4 linked regions of the Arabidopsis thaliana genome follow. The protein of the gene in region 2 purifies or fractionates together with the protein of the main gene of each other region. This does not show direct contact. Each region holds a gene or a part of one and is shown on either strand. Other genes may lie near its edges.

What was found.
Region 1: the proteins of AT1G52380 (region 2) and MOS6 purify together in Arabidopsis thaliana (affinity purification with mass spectrometry, with the first as the bait; one study listed by BioGRID). This does not show direct contact.
Region 3: the proteins of AT1G52380 (region 2) and IMPA-5 purify together in Arabidopsis thaliana (affinity purification with mass spectrometry, with the first as the bait; one study listed by BioGRID). This does not show direct contact.
Region 4: the proteins of AT1G52380 (region 2) and IMPA-1 purify together in Arabidopsis thaliana (affinity purification with mass spectrometry, with the first as the bait; one study listed by BioGRID). This does not show direct contact.

Annotation. Positions count from the first base shown.
Region 1 is NC_003075.7:950,013-955,345, forward strand, and holds MOS6 (ARM repeat superfamily protein), read right to left. Parts: upstream 3,679-5,333; 5' UTR 3,591-3,678; coding exon 3,375-3,590; intron 3,003-3,374; coding exon 2,903-3,002; intron 2,813-2,902; coding exon 2,721-2,812; intron 2,618-2,720; coding exon 2,486-2,617; intron 2,360-2,485; coding exon 2,174-2,359; intron 2,084-2,173; coding exon 1,920-2,083; intron 1,833-1,919; coding exon 1,754-1,832; intron 1,680-1,753; coding exon 1,551-1,679; intron 1,461-1,550; coding exon 1,333-1,460; coding exon of another isoform or gene 1,329-1,332; exon of another isoform or gene 1,242-1,328; coding exon 872-1,241; 3' UTR 534-871; downstream 1-533. Other genes in the region: AT4G02140 (uncharacterized protein), read right to left, coding at 73-228; AT4G02160 (cotton fiber protein), read right to left, coding at 5,089-5,333. UniProt on the Arabidopsis thaliana protein: Binds to conventional NLS motifs and mediates nuclear protein import across the nuclear envelope. Acts as a cellular receptor for the nuclear import of the virD2 protein of Agrobacterium, but is not essential for Agrobacterium-mediated root transformation.
Region 2 is NC_003070.9:19,507,127-19,512,199, forward strand, and holds AT1G52380 (NUP50 (Nucleoporin 50 kDa) protein), read left to right. Parts: upstream 1-1,825; 5' UTR 1,826-1,979; exon of another isoform or gene 1,980-2,811; 5' UTR 2,812-2,852; coding exon 2,853-4,175; 3' UTR 4,176-4,515; downstream 4,516-5,073. Other genes in the region: AT1G52370 (Ribosomal protein L22p/L17e family protein), read left to right, coding at 1-49, 256-323, 598-750, 857-967, 1,095-1,161, 1,287-1,573; AT1G52390 (uncharacterized protein), read right to left, coding at 4,842-4,871, 4,923-5,073.
Region 3 is NC_003076.8:19,991,402-19,996,675, forward strand, and holds IMPA-5 (importin alpha), read right to left. Parts: upstream 3,272-5,274; 5' UTR 3,116-3,271; coding exon 2,909-3,115; intron 2,783-2,908; coding exon 2,689-2,782; intron 2,588-2,688; coding exon 2,496-2,587; intron 2,424-2,495; coding exon 2,292-2,423; intron 2,211-2,291; coding exon 2,025-2,210; intron 1,956-2,024; coding exon 1,792-1,955; intron 1,706-1,791; coding exon 1,627-1,705; intron 1,407-1,626; coding exon 1,278-1,406; intron 1,174-1,277; coding exon 1,046-1,173; intron 964-1,045; coding exon 615-963; 3' UTR 545-614; downstream 1-544. Other genes in the region: AT5G49320 (transmembrane protein, putative (DUF1218)), read right to left, coding at 3,682-4,063, 4,237-4,463, 4,649-4,813. UniProt on the Arabidopsis thaliana protein: Binds to conventional NLS motifs and mediates nuclear protein import across the nuclear envelope.
Region 4 is NC_003074.8:2,118,386-2,124,704, reverse strand, and holds IMPA-1 (importin alpha), read right to left. Parts: upstream 4,362-6,319; 5' UTR 4,147-4,361; coding exon 3,937-4,146; intron 3,771-3,936; coding exon 3,674-3,770; intron 3,576-3,673; coding exon 3,484-3,575; intron 3,406-3,483; coding exon 3,274-3,405; intron 3,167-3,273; coding exon 2,981-3,166; intron 2,901-2,980; coding exon 2,737-2,900; intron 2,650-2,736; coding exon 2,571-2,649; intron 1,994-2,570; coding exon 1,865-1,993; intron 1,764-1,864; coding exon 1,636-1,763; intron 1,532-1,635; coding exon 1,150-1,531; 3' UTR 1,148-1,149; exon of another isoform or gene 1,138-1,147; intron 1,058-1,137; 3' UTR 539-1,057; downstream 1-538. Other genes in the region: TRX z (Thioredoxin z), read right to left, coding at 199-429; AT3G06710 (E3 ubiquitin ligase), read right to left, coding at 5,092-5,388, 5,498-5,938. UniProt on the Arabidopsis thaliana protein: Binds to conventional NLS motifs with high affinity in the absence of an importin beta subunit. Mediates nuclear protein import across the nuclear envelope in vitro in the absence of exogenously added importin beta subunit.

The sequences.
Region 1 (5,333 bases), on a different chromosome or scaffold from region 2:
TATCACAAACAATTTAGTTGTGACTTGTGACAGCTAAGCTTGACATATATAAACAACAAAGTCAAAATATACCTCGGGGTCTGATGGAAAAAGACTAGGCTCGTCTCCATCGTTACGGGCATGAATCTCTGGATCAGCGGTTCGACCAGTAGAAGAAGATAGTCTCTTCGCATGAAGACGACGACCGAGAGTAGAACGTGCTGCAGCAAAAGCTGGTGAAGACAGCATTATATCTGGCTATGTTGTTGTTCTTGTTGTCTGTTGGATATAAAACAATGAGAGTGTTTTAAATACACGAATTAGTCACATAGCCTAAACCCTAATTTCTCGCATATAGAAATTATGACCATGATAATAACCACTTAATCACCACTAATCTCTCCTATTTGTAATTAGACACCAAAGTACCCAATAAAAACTCCACATGCGTATATTGCTCTTGAAGTTTTGACCGTTGCCTCAAACCTCCACAAGCGTATATTACTATTTCTAGCTTCTCTGTTTTCTAAAATTGCGAGTAAAAATGATTAACTATTGAATAAAAATGTTTCTGGTTTAGTTAAGGCATAACTACGATTTTGTAATGGCACTAATATATGAAAAAAGGGAACTTTGTTGAAAGACGAGATGATGGCTAACACAGAATAATTGTTTCTCTTCCCCAAATGATTTAGTTATTGAGACAAACTTCCAAAAAGAAAAGAAAATCGTACTATGTTTCTTCATAGTTCATGTCCACGAGTTAAGGAGTGGGCATGAAGAGATAGAGAAGATTGATATTTCATCTTTGTGATGTTACCACTTTCGTTCGATATGTGGCTTACTTAAAAGTCCAAGCAACTTCTATGACCCAATTCAACTATTTTACCTTTCAAATAAAGTTGAATTGACCAGGAGGAACATTGGTGCTTCCGAACTGGAAACCAGATTGTGGAGCATGATTCTCGTCGTTGCCTTCTTCTTCATTGTCTTCAGTCCAAAATGTTTCGAGGATCTTCACGGCTTTGTCGTAGATATCATTGTTGTCGTGACTCTGAAGATTCTCAATCTTCTCTAACCCTTCTGCTTCGTCAATCATTTGAGCGTAGAGGTTGTCTTCTCCTGTGTGACCTAAGTTCTTCTCTGCTTCTCCAACCACGAGAATGTTCTCTAGTGCTTCTAAGCAAACCGTTACAACTTTCAGATCTGGGCAAGTAAGGAGATCGCATAGAGGTTTGATACAGCCTTGGCTCACCATAAACCTGAGAAGAAACAAACAATAAACACAGACGTGTTTTAGAAATGACCATTCTTTGTTAAGGAAACATTTCGTTTCGGTTTTTATGGTTTTACTTGATTTGATCATGAGTGCCACCAGAAGTAGCATTTGATATTCCCCAAGCAGCTTCTTTTTTTACTTCGAACTCTGCACTTTGAAGCACCCAAACAAGAGACTGGATTATACCTGCATCAATCACTGCCTGCACATACGGGTTCGAATAAAATCAGACACAGGAAACTTCAATTTTCGACTTTCTTGTTAAATGCCATATATTATAAACAAAACTCACTTGTATCTGATCTGCATTTCCAGCTGTAATGTTGGAGATAGTCCAGCAAGCTTCCTTCTTGATACTCTTCTTGTAATTGTTTTTTAGAAGGTTCAAAAGACAAGGAAGCGCTTGCTGGTCGAGAACCATCTGTGTTAGGAAAATAAGTTAGAGACATTTGCTTCTGAAAACTCGAAATCGAATGGTGAATGTATTATATGCACCTGAGTCTGTAGATCATCCCCGGTTACAATATTTCCAATGGTACGAAGAGCAGGAATCAGCACTGATGGCGACGAATGACTATACGGAGAAAGAGGAAGCACATAAATCAGATAACATAATCATGCCTGGCAATAAAAATTAAAATGATCACTATCAGATGCTTACCCTAAGAGCTGGATGAGGCGAGGAACAACTCCTGCTTCAATGACTGCTTGTATTTTGTCGTTTGAATTATCCGAGAGGTATGACAGAGCCCAGCATGCATCTGTGAGAACTTCTTCATCCATTGATTGCACAAGGCGCTCAAGAACTGGTAAAGCTGGTTGTGTCTGCTCGAAAAATGTTTTAAGTAACAAAATATCAGAAGCATGTTAAAAAATATTGTGGAGATTCAATAAAGTGTGTATATTTAAGGAAACCTGTTCAAATGCGGGTGGGGGCTTCCCTCTGCAGAAGTTTGATAATGTCCATGTAGCATTTCTCAGCATTGAAAGCTTTGTATTCTCATTGAATTGAGACAGAAGAGGTGTCATGGCACCGTAACTTAGGACTAAATCCCGGCATTTTGGTGAGTCTCCAGCAACATTTCCCAATGCCCAAACAGCCTATACTCAGTCAGGGAAAGACCAGAACTCAGAATGGTAACAGTCTCAATGAATTTCCACTTGATCCTAATGTCTAAGTGTTTCTTCTGTGACAATAACGATAACAGTGAGGATTTAAACATATACCTGTTCGCGGACATCTTCACTAGCAGAGCTGAGAAGTTGGATGAATATCGGGACAGCTCCACTTTCAATGATGACATTTGTGTTCTCTGATGTCCCTGAAGCAATGTTGGTGAGCGCCCAAGCTGCCTCAAACTAAAACACATTGCAGAAGTAAACAGCAAAAGCAAGTTAACAAATACATCAAACTAGTAACTATCAATATATCCAAAAAAAAACGACTGCAGCTGCGACTCACCTGAAGTTTGGGGAAGTCATCCCTGGAAAGAAACTTCACAACACGAGGAACAACACCAGATTGTACAACTTCATTGATAGGAGGATTTTGTTCTACAAAAGAAAAAACAACTGCTAAAGACTCTAACCAAAACACTGATTGTTATGTACTACTAGTAACGATCAATAACATAAATCACAAACCAATAGAAAGCAGTTTCCGCAAGAGATTTGTTGCCTCCAATTGTGAATTGCTATCCTCTGACCAGATTCCAGCAACCATAGCAGGTAGATTATCTTTTAACTGTAACACGAAGAGACACTATCATAGTCAAAAATCTCCTCTAGCTAAAGTAAATTTGATGATCTCCGTTGAGATATCAACCCTAATTCTCTTTACATGTCAAATTCAACACCGCTCAAATTCCCAGTCAATTAAACAGACATTAGTAACAAATACTCTCACCAAACAACACATACACATCGCAAGTTTTTGCAATCAAATACAAAATCTATGACCAAAAACAAAGAAACATCGCAAGAACTTCAAATCTAGAACAAATCGATCTCCAATTAGAAATTCATATGAAACAGAGACGATCTAATTGATCAAATCGGAACATAAAATCAGAAAAAACTAAAGGTGGAATCGTAAACAAAAGAAAGAATCACATACTTGGTTCGCTGAAGAAAGATCCTGTTCCGTTTGTCCCGTTGCTGAGCCAAAAGCCATAGAAGACGTAAATCTCTTCTTCTGCAAATTTTCCTCTCTCTTGTTCTTCCTGATCTCAACCAAGTTATCCTCTCGCCTCCGCCGTCCTTCCTCCGCATCGACCGCTACTTTGTACCGATTCCGTCGCACCTCCGTCTTCGCGCTAGGTCTGAGAGACATCGCCGCTAAAATCGAATCGAAATCGGAAGAGAATTAACGATCGGAAGATTATTTAAACACGCCAAGTTCGATTAATGAGAGAGTGATAAGGGTTTTGGAGTTTGATGCGAGTGTATTTATACAAGAGCGTGTACTTAGGAGGCCACGATTCAGGAGACTTGTTGTTAATCCAATATTGCCCCTAAGTTTTATCATTAATAACGAACCTGCCACTCATATTTTTTTTCTTTTTTGAAATTTGAATCTTAACGTCTCTCTGCCTTTTTAGGTATGTATACACCGACTACTAATTATGGATTTGTTTTCCTTTATTTTCTCCACGCAAATATTCTTTTCTTTTTCTGCAGCAGCAATACTCTAATTTGAAGAGGCTTTTTAAAGCCCAAATAAATTATTACATAGGCCAAACTTGGCTAAAACAACGTAATTTACAAGACTGTACTCTAATTAAAAGGGGTAAAAAGATCAATGTGAGCAACTGAGCATTATGAGAACTTTACTAATTAGATGCTTTACTATTCAATGCATCTTGGAAAGACGAGAACAACCATATTGCTTGAATTCCTTTCAAATGAGAGAACAACTAAATTGATTTCTTTCTATTTGTGCCATCTTATAAACTTGAGTGAACGACCTCTATTCCCCTACGCAGTTTCACATAGTACCACAACTACACAGATTTAGAACTTCGTTTACAGTCAACACAAAATAGAAGGTAAATTATTATATCCTCCTAAATCGAAAGTTAGAGAATTTAGTCTCCACAAAACCAAATTTTGTAGTTTATTATTAGGTTAACGTCATAAACCTAATGCCAAACCAAAAATCTAGTATAATAAACCGAATTGCAACCGATTCAATTTACTCTCCACATCATAAACTTCTAATCTCTCTTCTTTAGCTTCCATGTCTCTGATTTTCTCTTCAAGCAAATTGGATTCTCAAACCAATAGGAAAATTCTAAATTATATTGGATTGTACCCATAAGTGAATTATAAACTTCTACTTAACTCATTATTGGGTTTTTGGTTCAAAAGAAAAAAAAGAAAAAAACGAATTGCTTGAAATATGACAACAACAAAGGCTTGTAGCTCAGAGTCATGTATATGACACCCTAGGAAAACTGCCAAAGAAGCTCAGAGTCATGTATATAATTTGCGTACAAATTCATCATCTACTATATCACTCACAAGAAGCTAGCTGCAATTTGGTTCTAGCATTATGACTTGAAGATGATATATAGTAAACCAAAATGACATCAGTTTTATAAATATATTTTAATATAGTTTGCGTACAAATTCATCGTCTACTATAAAAGTATACAATCAAGACTAACTGAATACAATATATATATCATTACTTAAATCATCGAAATAATAGACGAAAAAAAAAAATCATCGAAATAATCAAAGACAAACTCTGTGCACGTCTCCATGCATATATGTATACTCATGTAATATGACATTATGCTTCAGTGAATAGAATTACAATGTGCGATTTAGACCATCATCATCTCTTTAGCTTTGTAACGTTCTGTATAAGCCTGATTTTGCATCCTCATCTGTTCATAAAATCTCACAATAAACTCCTCAGCTTTCGCATCAATCATCTCATCACCTCCATCATCATTACCATAATTTTCATCATCATCATCATCTTCATCAAGACAATCCATATCTCGCAACGACTTTGCTGATCCATATCCCGAGATTCCCGAAGAGCAAGAACTAGACGTCGCCGTGA
Region 2 (5,073 bases):
ACGGCAAATTACTCTTCCACACGGAATTTGGAATCCCCTTTCTCACAAGGTGGTGAATATTATACCATTTGAAGCTGTTTAGTTTTGATCATTTCGGTTTAGATAATGTTAAATCATTTCTGAATCTATTGTGTTCTTAGTGAAATTTCAAAATGTCAGGTGTTATCTTGGATTTTTGTTTTAATATAGTGTTTGTGTGTTTGAGTTGAGTGGGTGATGATTTTTTTTTTTTTTCAATTTTTGCTGTTGAACTAGGTTATTTGCAGAGTCTCTTGAGATCAACCTATTCCTCAAGACCACTGTATTATCATCTACAACAACTGGTAATGCTTCTGAATCGATGTTTCTTTTGTTTTCTATTGAGACTGGAGTTTCTCGTTTCCTCTTTGATAAATTTGCTTTAGTAATTTAATATAGCAAAATTGTTGTTAGTGGGATAGGGGAAGTGATTAAATGTGCTAGTGGAATGACTACATCTGTTATCTATCTGAATTATGCGAAAAGACACATCTCCTGAAACCATTCATCTGTGGAGAACTATGTTATCTATGGGTATGCTGCTTCATTCTTCTCTGATCTAAATCTGTATGTTTTCAGGGAATTTCTACCTCAAGACAATTGCAGGCGGGTGAGGAGCCTGTATCATCACCTTTGTCATCTCCAGCTCTGCTGGGTAGTGGAAAAGAAGAAGAGCAGAAGATTATCCCAAAGCGTCAGAAAGTTCAGGCTGTCCTCAAGTCCATAAAGCAGGTGTGTTCTCTCTAACTCCTAGTACAGTTTTACATTTTAGATGATATGTATACATCTTGATTTGTTATATGCGCTATATAATGTGCCCAAACCTTACTTATTGCAGAGTCCTAAGAAGGTCAACTTGGTTGCAGCACTAGTCCGTGGCATGCGTGTTGAAGATGCTTTGATGCAATTGCAGGTCACGGTCAAACGAGCTTCACAAACTGTGTACCGGGTAATCTCTGAGATTCGAGTTCAGAAACAAATCACTTTTAGAGTGTCTGGTCTACTCTCCTCTCGAGGCATTTGATACATTTCCTCATCTAATGATACTTAGCATACAACTTGGTCTCATAATGTAGGTTATACATGCTGCGCGGGCAAATGCTACTCATAACCATGGACTAGATCCTGACCGTCTCCTTGTTGGTATGTATACTACTGATCTACCGGATCTGTGACTGACTTGTTTTGCAACACTAAAGAAGGAAACATGATATATGTCAGAGAAGGATGTATAATTCATCTAAGTTCTTTTGATATGTGTGATGCAGCGGAAGCGTTTGTTGGGAAGGGACTCTTTGGGAAGAAGGTAGCTTACCATGCAAAAGGAAGAAGCGGGATAATATCAATACCCAGGTGTCGTCTAACAGTCATAGTCAGAGAGACGACTGCAGAGGAAGAAGCTGAGATTGCAAGGCTGAAAGTTCACAATTTTAAGAAGCTAAACAAGCGGCAGAGACAGCTGGTACCACACAAGTTGATCGAGACAAGTCCAATCTGGAACCGCAGAGGTACCAAAGGCAATCACAGGTCATCTGAGTTGGTACCGTCTCACTAAGTATCATTGTTCCGGCAACTGTAACGAGAGCTTCTCTTTTATGGTACTTGTTTGTATCGGTAATTGGTTACTATTCCATTCAATAGATATGTTGCCAGAGACAGGAACCAAAAGAAAAGTCATTTTTCAATTTATATGAATCGAAGAAAACTGTAATCTTGTAAACATAATTAACACGAATAACATATTTTTCAATGTGACCTTTTGTGCATAATAAAATAAAATAATTGAAGTCACACACAAATGTCGATAAAAATAAAAAAGTTGAGAAAGAGAGAGAGATACAGAGCTGGATGTTTTTTCCTCTATAAACCTCTTTTGCTTTCTCTCTTCGTCTCTGACCACTTTGGCTCCGGCGTTAGTTTTTTCCCTCTCTGCTACTGCTGCGGCTCCGGCTCCTGCTACGGTAAGTCCTTGCCATTTTCTCGTCACCGGTCACTTTCTTCGAATCTTAGGTTTCTTCATTATCGGGTTTATCGGAAATGGTTTGTCTCAGGGTTAGCTACTTTGATTCTAGGGTTTTGTCATGCTCTTGTTTGTTCTGGAAATAGTTTCCGGTCATTTCTTTTATTTTGGTTCTTGATAGTTGCTTTGATGATTAGGGTTTTTGGTATTTAACTCGTGTTGAGATCGAGTTTCAGATTTTTTCTTCACTCATCGAATAATTTCTGAAGATGCTTTGGGGTTTACTCGATTGTTGCAGCTAACAGGAGTTTCTCTTAAATTTGATAGGTTCCTAAAATCGAATTTGGGTTTTTGTTTCCTCCGATTTAAAATCTCTTTTCATCTAGGTTTATAGATTTGAGGATAATAACAAAGTCACTGATGTTGAATTTTTCATTGGTTTTAGATTTATAAGTCACTGTATTTGCATTTCTTATATCTAAGTTTAGCCCTACTTCTTCTGTTCCTTACCTTGGAGTGTTAACATATAATTAGCTGTCTTCTTTGAATACATTTTAAGGCTTTCTGGATATTTGCATAAGGTAACGAGCAGCCTCTGTAGTTTTCACTTTCCATTGCATTGTCATGTTAAAGCTTTTGTCTTCTTAGATTTGGCATTACTCATCATCATCTGTGGCTGCAAACTGATCCGGTGTGTGTGTTTTACCTTTGGAACGGTGTTTTGCATTGTAATGTTTTATCTCTGTTTTCAAAAATTGGATTTTTATCTGTTATTATCTTTGAAGGGTATTGTTTCATTGGACTTTCTTTGTTTGTCTGTGTTTTTTTATTAGGTATTTGACAAGTGTGTTGACATTCTCTCATAACAATTCAAATGGGTGACTCGGAAAACGTTCAGCAACCTTCAAAAAAGAGAGGTGCCTTGAAGCAGCTGTCTCGTGATAATCCAGGTCTTGATGATGATGATGATTCAGCTGAACTTGAGAGTGGAACTTTCAAGAAGGCCAGTGATGAGGTTTTGGCTAGTAGAAGAATTGTCAGAGTTAAGCGCAAAGAGCCATCTGCTGCTCCAGTTGCAGCATCCAATCCATTTGCTGGAATTCAGTTGGTCCCTACGACTGCACCTGCTTCAACCCCTGTGGGAACAAATGCACCTCTGGCTGAGTCAAAATTGGCTCCAGCTGAAGCAGTAGTTGAGGACAATCAAAAAGCAAGTGATATTGAGGAGGGCGATGAAGTTGACAGTAAGAAGGTTGATGTCAAAGATGCTGTTGGGGAAGAGACTGAAAAGACTAAAGATAAGGATGATAATCATTGTGGAAAGAGTGCTGATGTCCAAGTTGCGGCTACAGAAGTAGCTCAGATGGTCTCATGTGACACAAACGTTTGCAACAACGCTGTTGAAGGAACAGACCAAACTGATTTTCCTCTTGAGAAGGATTCAGGAGGTGATCAGGCTGAGAAAAAAGAAAAAGAAGGCAACGGAATTGAGGAAGCAGATAAGAATGGCGATAATGGTGCTTTCAGCTCATTCCAACAGCATTCAAGTAACAAAAACGCATTCACCGGACTTGCCAGTACAGAGGCTTCAGGGTCTTCGTTCTCATTTGGTTTGGTTTCTCAGGATGGTTCAACTGGTACTGGGTCTCTCTTTGGCTTTGGCCTTCCAAGCAGCAATAGCTCTTCTATATTCGGTGCAACTGGATCGTCCATTATCAAGAAGAGTGAAGGTAGTGGGTTTCCGCCAAAGCAAGAGGTTTCCACAGAAACAGGTGAAGAGAATGAGAAAGTTGCCTTCTCAGCTGACTCGATCATGTTCGAATATCTTGATGGAGGATGGAAAGAGCGTGGAAAAGGAGAACTCAAGGTAAACGTCTCCAGTAATGATGGTAAAGCAAGATTAGTTATGAGAGCTAAAGGAAACTACAGATTGATCTTAAACGCGAGTCTTTACCCAGAGATGAAACTTGCAAACATGGATAAAAAGGGAATCACATTCGCTTGTGTGAATAGTGTAAGCGAAGGCAAAGAAGGTCTCTCTACATTTGCACTGAAGTTCAAAGACCCGACAATTGTTGAAGAGTTTCGTGTAGCCATTGACAAACACAAAGATAGTAAACCAATGGAGAAAGCAGCAGAAAAATCAGCTCTTCCTCTGAAGACACCTGAGAACTCTCCAACAGCTACAGATACTTGAAGAAAAGGTAAAAAGAAAAAAAGAAAAAACATGTAGAAACACTTCTCTCGTCTCTCTCGTCTCTCTTGTCTTTTGTCTTGTCTTGTTACTTCCAAGTAGTTGAATTTTGAGGCAGAGGAAAACTAAAATATTTGGAGAAGTTTGTTGTTTTTTTTACACAGTTGTTGAGACTTTTTGGTTACATGTTTCTGTTTGTAGAAGGAAACCATATATGACTTAAATCTGCATCCTTGATTTCTTTTTATGTTCCACCATATGAATGTGACTGGACCAGATAGGTTTCAAATTGGTCCTGAGATTTTAAGGGCTTAAGATGTGTTCTTCAAATCGTAGATTAATCGTGTTGTCAATTAATCTGGATTTGTAAAGCTGGGTTTATAAAGATCGGTATAAAATTGATCTAAGATTCACAGAGTACAAAGTTGGTGGGTTTGGGTTACTGAGAAAATTTGACATGTGTTAGTACTGTAGTTATGTTGCTAGAGTGTTTTGATTAAAGAGGTTAGTAGTTGGGAAAAGCAGAGCCTGAAAATAGAAGTGAAACACGAATAAAACAGCAAAAGTTTAACAGAAGAAAGATGAAAGGTCAATGTTTTGAGAGTTACATAGAATGATGAAACATTGTTGCCAAACCAGGGGGTAGTTGAGACCTGCTGCGCACAGAGGTTAGTCATCAGAACCAGTATCTTCTATGCCCTTACACAGTGAAAGGTGTTTCCAAGACACTATGTACTTAGCACACATTACCGCCGTCAGACATTCATCATCAGGTAAAGTCCTATCAGGGATTGTTGCAAAAAGTTTGAAACCTCTATATCTCAAACCTTGAAGAAATGGCCAGAATTGATCATCTTCTGAACTGGCATTCGCGATTAACAACAGGTTTCGGCCCGCAGAA
Region 3 (5,274 bases), on a different chromosome or scaffold from region 2:
ATCGAAGCTTAAGAAAAAATAGCAGAGACGAGAATGAAGAAGAGTTAACAACGAGCGAAGAAATAATAAAGCATCTCTGCACCTTCTTACTTGAGCTTGTTATCGAATTCATCTAAATTCTCAAAGTGGCGACCAAATTCGATGATTCAATTTCTCCATGGAAACGAAACACAAAGTGGTTTCGGAATATATGGGCCTTTTACGTTATACCAAAGCCCATAGCATAAGAGCCCATCCATTTCGAAAGAAAAAAAAAAAAACAAATCCGTCCCGCGTCAAAAAAACTGAATCCATCTTTAAAGTTTGACCGTTAGTTCGGTAAACAAATAATTTAACCCTTTCTTAATTTTGACCGTTAGTTCGGTAAATTTGAGTAAAATTTTTTCCTAAAAGACAAAACAATGTGGATTCCAACAGGAAGTGGAACTTGGTTCTCTAACAGGAAGTGGAACTTGATTCCAATATGATGAGTAGCTGTTAGAGAACCAAGTTCCACTTCCTGTTGGAATCCACATTGTTTTGTCTTTTAGGACCATCATATTATGTGCATGCTTTTGGTTCAATATGACAGCTATTTCTTTACATCAAAATCTAATATCAGATTATGTGGGATCTTAACGAGAAAAATCAAACTGGAATTCCGGATGAGAACAACCATCACCACCTTCATCTTCCTCTTCAACTAACCTTCCATCTTCCTCTACAAGCCCGTATGTTTGCAGAATCTTCACAGCCTTCTCGTAGATCTCATTGTTGCCATGGTGCTGCAAGTTCTCAATCTTTTCTAGCCCTTCTGCATCTTCAATCATTTGAGAGTAACAGTTCACGTCTCTTAGGTTCTTGTCCACCTCTCCAGCAATCAAAATCATTTCCAGTCCACCTAGAGACACTAAGATGATTCTTAGATCTGGACAAACCAGGATGTCACATAAAGCTTTTATGCAATTCTGCTCCACCAAGTATCTGATACACACCAATGGATATTGTGAATATAGATGATCAATAAGCATGAAAAAAGTGATAAAGAAAGAAGACAGGGATGTACTTGATTTGATTAGGAGAACCACCCACGGAAGCATTTGAAATTGCCCATATAGCTTCTTTCTTTATGTCAAATTCAGCATGTTGTGCCAGATTGACCAACGATGGAATCAAATTTGCATCAATAACCGACTGTTATCATCATCAATGCAAGAAAGACAAATAGAAAATATTTAGTGATAGCAACGTAAATTGTTCAAGTTCTGCAACAGTAACAATCACAAACTCATGCTCACCTGAATTTGTTCTTCTAAACCGGCAGTGATGTTTGAAATCGTCCAGCAAGCTTCCCTCCTTATGCCTCTCATATGGTTTTGAGTAAGCAGGTCAGCAAGAACGGGTAAAACACCACAATTGATCACACACTGAAAAATAAGTTCAAAGAGTTATTTGGTTACAAAATCTAATCTCAACACAGTACTCAAGCAACATATAAATGAAGTGTTCTCCAGGATATAATCATCCAAGATACAGGATTACAAATTAAGCTTTTGATAGTGCTATTGCTTTGAAAAACAATAAATTCACACGGTGTACAAGAGACGTGTTCTTGAAGGCTCCATCAAAGGAATATGAATTACATACGTGAGTCTGCTGACTATTTCCAGAAACTATATTCCCAATGCAACGAAGTGCAGGAACAAGTACAACTGGAGAAGCGTGTCTGCAAAAGAAAAAAATGGCGAGCCTTCATTATCCAAACATGTATCAAACGGTTAAATTTTTTAATATTTGGAGAGAAGTACTAACTGGAGAAGTTCAACTAGTCTTGGGACAACACCCGCCTCGATCACACTTTGGATATTTTCATTTGAAGCATCAGACAGATTCGAAAGCGCCCAGCAAGCATCTATCAAGACTTGTTCATCATCCGAATAAACAAGTCTTTTAAGTACAGGGAGAACATGTTTCACCTATAAATCATGTTTCATAAGTTTAAGTATTGCACCTATAAAACTGAGGAAATAGAGAAGTAAGAATACCAGGTCAAAGGGTGGTGAAGGCTTGCCACGGAAGAAGTTTGATAAAGTCCAAGTCGCATTTCTAAGTATCGACAATGTAGCATGGTTATTCAGCTGATGCAACAGTGGAATAAATGCCCCAGAGTTAAGAACAAAGTCACGGCACTGTATTGAATCACCAGCAACATTACCCAGTCCCCATATAGCCTGCAAATTAAGTGTAACATCAAACTCTTCAAAATTTGAACTCACATATTTAACCATTCATACTCAGAAGAAGCACTATACCTGCTCACGGACATCATCATCAGGGGAAGCAAGAAGCTGAACAAAGAGTGGCACAACACCGTGATCAATCACTACCTTGGTATGCTCAGATGCGCCAGAAGCAATGTTTGTTAAAGCCCAAGCAGCCTCAAACTATAAAAAAGATCAAAGAATTCAGAACCAAAGATTACACTAATCATCAAAGATGGGAACTTTAAGTCTAACCTGAAGCTTAGGGTTATCATCCTTCTTAAGAAACTCTACAAAACGTGGCACAACTCCAGATTTTATCACATTATCAGTAGGTGGACTTCTATCTGAACAATATATAAAACCACAAGACTTTAAGAAACCATTCAAGTAAATATAAGTTCGTATCTTTTTCAACTCAAGATCAAAGAAAAGTAAAGAGTTTTACCGAATGATAGAACCACCCTGAACCGAGTTGTGTACTCAAGCTGCAATGAAGGATCATCCGAGAAAACCCCAGTGATCATATTCGCTATCTCCAACTACAACCATCACCAGAGAGGATCTAATTTAATTACCCAATTCGAAAGCATTCGAGTATAATGATAAAGGTCGTATCTTTCAAAACCTAGGTTTCACTAATCCAAAACCAAAGATCAAACTTTTACCAAACTCTCAAAGGGGTCGTTGGAAATCAACTTGTAATCAGGAGGCAAAACTTTTACACGACGTTTCTTCATCAAATTTTCGTTGCGTTTACTCTTGCGAATCTCGACTAAAAAGTCTTCTCTTCTTCTGCGTCCTTCTTCCGCATCTACAGAGACTTTGTAACGGATTCGACGGATCTCTGTCTTCGTGCTCGGTCGCAAGGACATAGCTTTCTCGATTCTTCGACCTCTCTAAATCAATTCACAAAATCGAAGCGAAACCCTAGAAATTTGAACTGAATGGGATTTGCAAAGTGAAGAAGAGAATGCAAGAGTGGTGAAGATGAAGAAGAAGCGACAACAGTTTCAATTTGAAGAAGCGGGAGGGTTTTCTAATTATCGTTTTTAATTGTTAACCGTATTTATACAGTAGATTGAATCATAAATCATTGATAATCTAAATTTAAGATAAAGTTTACAATCATATTATTAAGAGCTCCAAATTGAAATAATTAGTCAATAATTATTATAAGCTAAAATACTTGAATCTAAACCGAACTAAACCGTGAAGTTGGTTTAGTTACTCGTTACCGACGATAAAAAGAACCATATTTGCAGAGTTTACTCGTTAGATGTGTAGTGTTTTCTCCGGCGAAGGAAAACCTACTTTTCCGGTAAAGTTCATGTATTGATTGGAAAAAGTAGGTTTTGGTTTGTGATTTTGAATTGCTTATGTAAGAAGTAAAAACATTGTTTTTTCTCATATGATTATGTTAACTACTATACATTGTACACTATACTATATGTGCAAGTTGCTTTAAAGAAACAAGATATTCCAAAGACGTCGATTCATCTCTAACAGTAGCAAGACCTTCTCGAGCAACCGTAGCCATCCGATTTGTAGGCGATCTTGGAGGAGATGCATAAAGAACTGATGCCTCGATGATCTCTCTATGTGTGTTTTCAAGATCCTTAGAGATTCGATGTGCTTGAAGAGCGGTTAGGTAAAGTCCCGTGGCTAGAAAGACGGTTATAAGTGAGAACACTCCGGCCGCTGAAAACAAGCCTTGCCGGATTACTAGACAACTAGGTTTTGGTTTAGACCAGTTCTTTAGATGTCCTGATTCCACACTAAGTGCAACCAACAGTAGAACCTCTCCAACACCAAAGCAAACCCTTATAGGAACAAAAAAGAATAATATAATCACAAAATTATCATTAACTTAAGCTATGGTCAGTAACATAAATATGTCATTTCACGATTGCTTATAGTTAGGATTTTTTTATTTTTATTTTATTTTTTATAACTACATGACATTAATTCGTTGCGTTAGAATAAGTCTACGTACCATGTTGAGACGAAGAAGAAGGCAGCTTGAAAAGTGAGCCTCTTCGCAGGAACAGAGTCAGGATCCCACTCAACCAGAACCAGAGACGGCGATGTGGTGACTGCGATAAGTAAGTACATGTGGAAGCCCACCATCGCCACCGCTAGTCCCACAAACGCAATCGCACCACACAACAACGGCGTTTTCCCGCTACCATTATACACGCATGTTTTGCTTCCCCATGTCGCCTATTGCAAATGATTGACAACATATTAATGGCAATGATATAACTTATACTAAATACTATTATAATCGAACGATATGGTAATTAATATAAAACATGAATCAATATAGATTTCTGATTTATTTTGAAAATATAAATGATGAAAACATATGAGAGAAAGTTTATATACATCCCTGTATAGTAATGTACCTGAGATCTTGTGGCTTCGGCATAGAGGCAGAGAACAAAGCAGGAGAGGCCAAAGATTATTGTCAAAACAGCGATGAAAATACCGGTTTTGCTGCTGAGATCTGTGGTTTTAGGGTTTGGAACAAGATCTTGATGGGTCACAGCTCGCACTCTTGTTCTCGACATGTCTCTCGTCAATTTCTAATAGATAGGAATCGAAGTTACATGTTTTGAGAGTTATTATACTTTGATTTGTTTTACATATATGAGAGGCATTGAAAGTGGGAAGAAAAGAATAAACTGGAGTATATTTGATAAATAAATGAAAAAGGAGAGGAGGATAGAAGAATTGCTTCAGCCAAAGGTTGCTTAAAGGCCAAGATTCGCAGGTTCTCTTTCGGATGTCTTTTTAGAAATACTATACTGTTTTCGTATAGTGTCTATTAAACGATGATGTGTAAAATATATAATGTGACGAGAGTTCGTTAATGGAGTTAGTTGGATGATTCTTTTCATATATTACACGTGTATAAGAACATTCTTTTCTTCTTTTTATTTTGTGTTCATACAAAGAACATCGTACCTTTTATTATCTTGAAAGTAAATAAAGATAAAGATAAAAAGATAAGGTGATGAACTTTGTTCGT
Region 4 (6,319 bases), on a different chromosome or scaffold from region 2:
ATTTAACAGTGTACTGGTCGAATCTTTGATAGAACTACCATATATCGTTCTTATATAATAACTACATCTATGCCCAGCCAACTTAATTTCCCAGAAAGGCGAAAAAGGAAGTCGTAAAACGAAAACAAACATGAAATTTTTTGAAATCGACAAAATATGTTGTTTGGAGCGTGAGAGAAAGCGAGAAATTGTCCGTACCACAAGATAATCTTCTCTGACAAACTTGCCGCGAGGCGGAGGACAGAGAAGCTTTCGCGGACGCGTCAACGGCGAGAAGGGCAAGTTTCCGGCGGTGGAGGAGGAGAACGGCGCGGCTACCGGTCGGATTTCCCTCCGGATAAAGAGAGAAGACGGAGCATGGAGGGAGGATAGAATCGGCGATAACGGAGTGTTGAGGTGTGGAAAAGTTCTGGATTGAACAAGAGCCATTTTGGAAATCGATTTCTGCTTCAAAATGATTTCAGTTTTAGCTTTTGAGGGGTTTTAGACGATAAGGCAATTGAACTGGACATATACTAATAGTTCATTAGTTCTTGTCTTTTTACAATTTACTTGCTCAGGTAAAGTCAAATTCATAATAATTTATTGCTGTTTTATGTATACTTTACTTCATAATTCAAATAAAGATTCGAGTCTTTATAACTCGAAGATAAACCCTTCCTTAGGTTTGACCAAAAAAAAAAAAACCTTTCCTTAGGAAATCAGACACCAAACATATTAAGACCAATAAAGGGTTTATGGTTTCAATTTTTTAACCGACATACAAACTGTTGTCAACACAAAAACAAAAGACTCCACTGTAAGTTTTTATAACCCTCCAAAATTTAAAAACAACACAAAGGTCGACTCACGACCGGTGTACCAGTCATTTCAAAAAAATAGCCCTGGACAATGAACCAAACACTTTCTCAGACGCTGTACTTTTAAACCGACCACCCGGTACAAACCTCTGAGACCAGACCAGACCAGACCTGGAGTATAACCATGGCAGTGAAACTAGACTCTGACTGACTCTGACCTTTCACCATTCTCAAGTTGCAAGCTTCCAATTCCATTCCTGTGGGTTTATATTGATCTAAATATCAGATTTTGCATGTTTTCATCAAGAGACGTTGTTAGAAATTTAAGAATTTTTACTTTTATTTACCTTCAGCTGAAGTTGAATCCTCCGGATGGTACTGGAGCTTGATTCCCTCCAAACTGGAACCCAGCCTGAGAACCATCAACACCTGGAGGTTGCTGTGTCTCATCATCTTCCTCTTCAAGCCAGTATGTCTCCAGAATTTTAACAGCCTTCTCATAGATCTCATTGTTGTCATGGCTCTGAAGGTTCTCGATCTTTTCTAGCCCTTCTGCATCATCAATCAGCTGAGCGTAATAGTTCATGTCTCCTGTGTGACCCAAGTTCTTCTCTGCCTCTCCCACCTTCAAAATGTTTTCCAATCCTTCAAGGCAGACAGTTATGATTCTTGGATCTGGGCAAACCAGGAGATCGCATAATGGTTTTATGCACCCTTGCTCCACCAGGTATCTGTATAACCAACGGGAACAGAACATCAATATATATATACACAAAGTATATATATGAGAGAAGAAACTGGAAGTTAGAGGAACGCAAAAAAGACAGTGACATACTTTATTTGATCATGAGAACCACCTGAAGTTGCATTTGAAATTGCCCATGCAGCTTCCTTCTTAATGTCAAATTCAGCATTTTGAAGCAGACTCACCAACGGGGAAATCAAATTAGCCTCAACTACCGTCTGCAACCATCAGGGGAAAAACAACACAATTAATGAATAGGTATAGAAGTCTGGATGGGAAACGGTACAAAACATATGATGAAACAGTACTAATTGCCTACCTGGATCTGATCTTTGTTGCCTGCTGTGATGTTTGAAATCGTCCAGCAAGCTTCCTTCTTTATGCTTTTCTTATGGTTTTGAGTGAGCAGGTTGGCAAGACAAGGTAGAGCACCACTATTGATCACGCACTGGAGAAGAAGTAAAATCAGATTTCCAAGTAAAACGATGTAAACTATTTCAGATATAGAAAAATCACCTTTGCTAAACTCATGAAAAACCAAATTTCACCAAGCAAAAAATTTGTGCATGTTGTTGGTTTAAACTTTAAAACAAGAATTAATTGTAACAAAACTCAAACACAAGCAATATATAGCAAAAAAGGCACTGCATCCTATCTGCTAATATGGACAGAGTGGCAACAGAGGGAGAATCTCATGATAAGCATTCAATACTCCCATTTTTCACATAAAATGTTGGATATGAATAATAGCAACAGGGTGCCATACATTTGAACAACACCTCATCGCAATTACCAGTCTTGGATTAGATGATATGCATGGTATATCACTAACTTCGACATGTTTTTGCTATCGGTTCAATTAATGAAAAGTTCTAGTGGTATCTTCAGACCTATTCCTAAAGGCCAAAGAATTGCATAACCACAAAGATATTCTTTGGCATAGTAGGAAAAATATATACTATCATATACAATGTGCAAAACCGAAATACTGTGAGAAATTCAATAGACAGGATTTAGATCCATACCTGTGTTTGTATATCATCTCCAGTAACTATATTTCCAACAGTGCGAAGAGCAGGAATTAGCACAGATGGAGAATGATGGCTAAAAATCAAGAGCAAGGTATCAAGTTATTTGTCAACAAATGTGTGAAGTGGACATGAAATAAGGGAATTATAAAATGGTACTGACAGGAGAAGTTCAACAAGTTTTGGGACAACACCGGCCTGGATGACAGTCTGGATTTTGTCATTGGTCCCATCAGAGAGGTAAGAAAGAGCCCAACAGGCATCTGTCAAGACTTCTTCATCATCTGAATGAATTAGTCGTTCAAGGGCGGGAAGAGCAGGTTTGACCTGTTAAACATGCTTCATATGTTAGAAGAATACTAGACATAAACATTGACGAAACAAGCTTGGAGGGGAAAAAAATAGACCTGGTCAAAGTGAGGCTGAGGCTTGCCACGACAGAAGTTTGACAAGGTCCAAGTGGCATTTCGAAGCATGGACAATTTAGCATGCTCATTAAGCTGATTGAGCAGCGGAAGCAGTGCCCCACATCCAAGAACAAGATCACGGCACCGTGGTGAATCACCAGCAACGTTACCCAAAGCCCATACAGCCTGCAGGTTAGAGCGAAATCTTAAGATCAGGGTTTCACAAAATTTTCAATTGCATAATCTCTCATAATAAATGAGAAGACATTCTGTAGTCATCAGAAGTTCCATACCTGTTCACGAACATCATCGCTAGGGGAAGCAAGAAGCTGAACAAAGATTGGAACAGCATTGTGATCGATTACAACCTTAGTGTGATCCGATGTTCCAGATGCAATGTTTGTTAGAGCCCAAGCTGCCTCAAACTAAAATAAAAATCATAAAAGATGAGAAGAGAAGATTACAGTGAAGAATGAATCAATAAGAGACATTAATTATCTCACCTGAATGGCGGGGTAATCTTCTTTCTTAAGAAACTCAACAAACCTAGGAACAACACCAGCACTTATCACTTCCTCGATTGGAGGACTTCTCTCTATGCAATTATAATAGAGACAGAGAGACAAAAGTTAAAGGGGACACTCCAAATTATATCAAAACGGGAAATAAAAGAGAATTAAGAAAAGGAATTACCAATAGAGAGAAGCTTCCTGAACTGAGTAGTGGACTCAAGCTGCAAGGCAGGGTCATCGGACCAAACCCCAGCGACCATATCCTTCAGACTATCCAACTACAAATGTTTTTTTAAAGCCAATCAATCACAAGACAACTACCGTAACCAGAACCCAAAAACGAAACCCTAAAACCTCAGTAAGCCGACATGAAAATCACAAACAAAAACCTAGAAAACCGACAACAAGGAGTACAATCGAATCATCTAAAAACCAGAATTGTACCTTCTTATCGACGGAGGCGGCGGAAGCTGAAGGGAAACCCTGAAGAGCTTGCATACCTTCACGTCTCTTCTTCATCAAACTCTCCTCACGCTTGCTTTTACGGATCTCAACCATGTTGTCTTCTCTCCTCCGTCGTCCTTCCTCCGCATCCACTGCAACTTTGTATCGGTTCCGGCGAACCTCCGTCTTAGCGTTGGGTCTCAGTGACATGGCTCTTGCTCGACAAAGAAAATCCGATGAAAAGATATAAACCCGATCAATGAATGCACACAAGCACACGCAAAGACTGGTCTGTGTATTATATAGATCCTGCCGAGAGCAAATAAATTATAATTATAAAAAAAACCTAAAAATTGATTTGGGAGTGGAAAAGTGATAAAGAAAGAGTTAAGAAGCAGAGGCAGCGAGGGACAAGTTGACAACAGCGCATCCAAAGAATGAAAGCACTTTTTTATTTATTTTTAATCTTTGTTCTTAATTTATACTGTAATTGCTAAAATATTCACTTATTTACAGTTTTGCCACTATTTATTTATGCAAACAGGTGTCCACAATTAGGTTATTTACATAATTAGCCCCTTACTATTGTGTTCTTTGAGGCAAGCTAATGTATTCTTCTTTATATCTCAACAATTTGAAGATCCTTTTGTTTTCATGACTTACAAGTGGACTGCGATTATCTTAATATTAACGTATATAGACCTTGGTTACTATATAACTTTTTGAGTTTTGAATCTACGTTTGTGTTTATACATTTTTTCCTTTCCAATGAAAAGTCGTTGTTTGTCATATATGGATTAGTTATTTCTCTCTAGCGAGATATCCTCAGTCAGATTGTCCACTCTTTAACCGACTACATACCGATCATCGAAGACCAACCTATGAAAGTAACTGACGAGATCATAAGTTTGCTTGGCCATGAACCAGACCGCAATCAAGGCTAACAACGCCGGCCAGATAAACGGCTCAATAGCTGGGTTGGCGCTACGGGAAAATCCAAGCAGAGGTAACAAAGACTTCAAGAGCAAGTAAGGGATGCAGAGTGTGGCTAGAAGTGTGGTTATGATCGAACCAATCACATCTTGAAGCAGCCACATTGAAGGAAGCTTATTGATTCCCACGTTTCTGATTCTCTTGAACTTTCCCCGCCATGCCTTAGTCGCGAAACAGTTGACAGGAAACGAGATTTTTGCTCAGGAGGCAGGACAGTTTCTTTGTTATGAAGTGATATCCCAAGGAAAACCACCTGACTATGGCTGGAAACGAGATTTGACGCAGAGTGAGGAAAATTCCTAAGTAGGCAAAGGGAATTGACAGCGTCATCATGTATCCAAGAATGACAGGTGAGTTTTCGAATAAACCGCCACCTCCTACAATTGCTATTGCAATCCAGCGAAAAGAAAACGGCAGAAGAATAAAGAAGAAAGACACACATATGCTGATGGTAAGAGCCTGTAGATAAGATAACAAACAGAACCTGTTATTCAAAACATGCTCCATATGGTAATTAAGTTACATAGGGTGGACGAAGGAAGAGAACTAGAAGGGACATTAGACTTACATCAAAAGATTTGTTATCCAGAAAGAAAAGCAGCCGTCCAATGGCTCCAAGTTCGTGAACAGCAACACCAACTAGCCTAGGAGGTTCCCCGAAGAAGCTTTGCAATAGAGAATAATACCACTCACAAACGATCTTGTTATATTTCCATAAAACAAGCACAAACCCATCTCCTAAGACATTCTTAATCAAGATGTCAGCCTGAAACCCAGCAGGATGTCTCGCGATAATGGGCTCGTGTATGGGTATCCTCATGAAAAACACAAGATGACCGTTGTATAACAGGCCATTTAAGAAACATGCGGACTTGGTAGACATTCCATAATCTCTCTTGAACCCAACAACAACTTCTTGGCCCAAAGGATGTAAAGAAAGGCAGTATGTGTTCAAGATAAACGCCATAGCCCAAGGAACAACCATTCTCACGTAAGGTGATGCTCTCATTAACACAAACACGTATTAGAAACTCGTGAACTGGAAGTCTCTCTGGAGCGTCCTACAATGAAAACAGAGAGCATTTCATCAAACATTTGGTGTGCGAGATTCTTCTTAAACCCATATTACAAGAAACAGAGAAGAAATCGAAAATCCCAACACCATGACACAAATATAATCCCCAAAAACATCACTCATAACAAAATACTAGTAAATAACTTTGATATTCTTTCTAAAATCGCAGAAATTGAAGTTTAATCGAAAACGAAATTGTCACATAACGCTATAGAACAAGAACCTCATTCTTTAGAGAAAAAGAGGTTTGTATAATAACCTCGCACTGCTTGTATCCGCGGAGATTGAGCCAGATATGAAGACAGTCTTGATGAA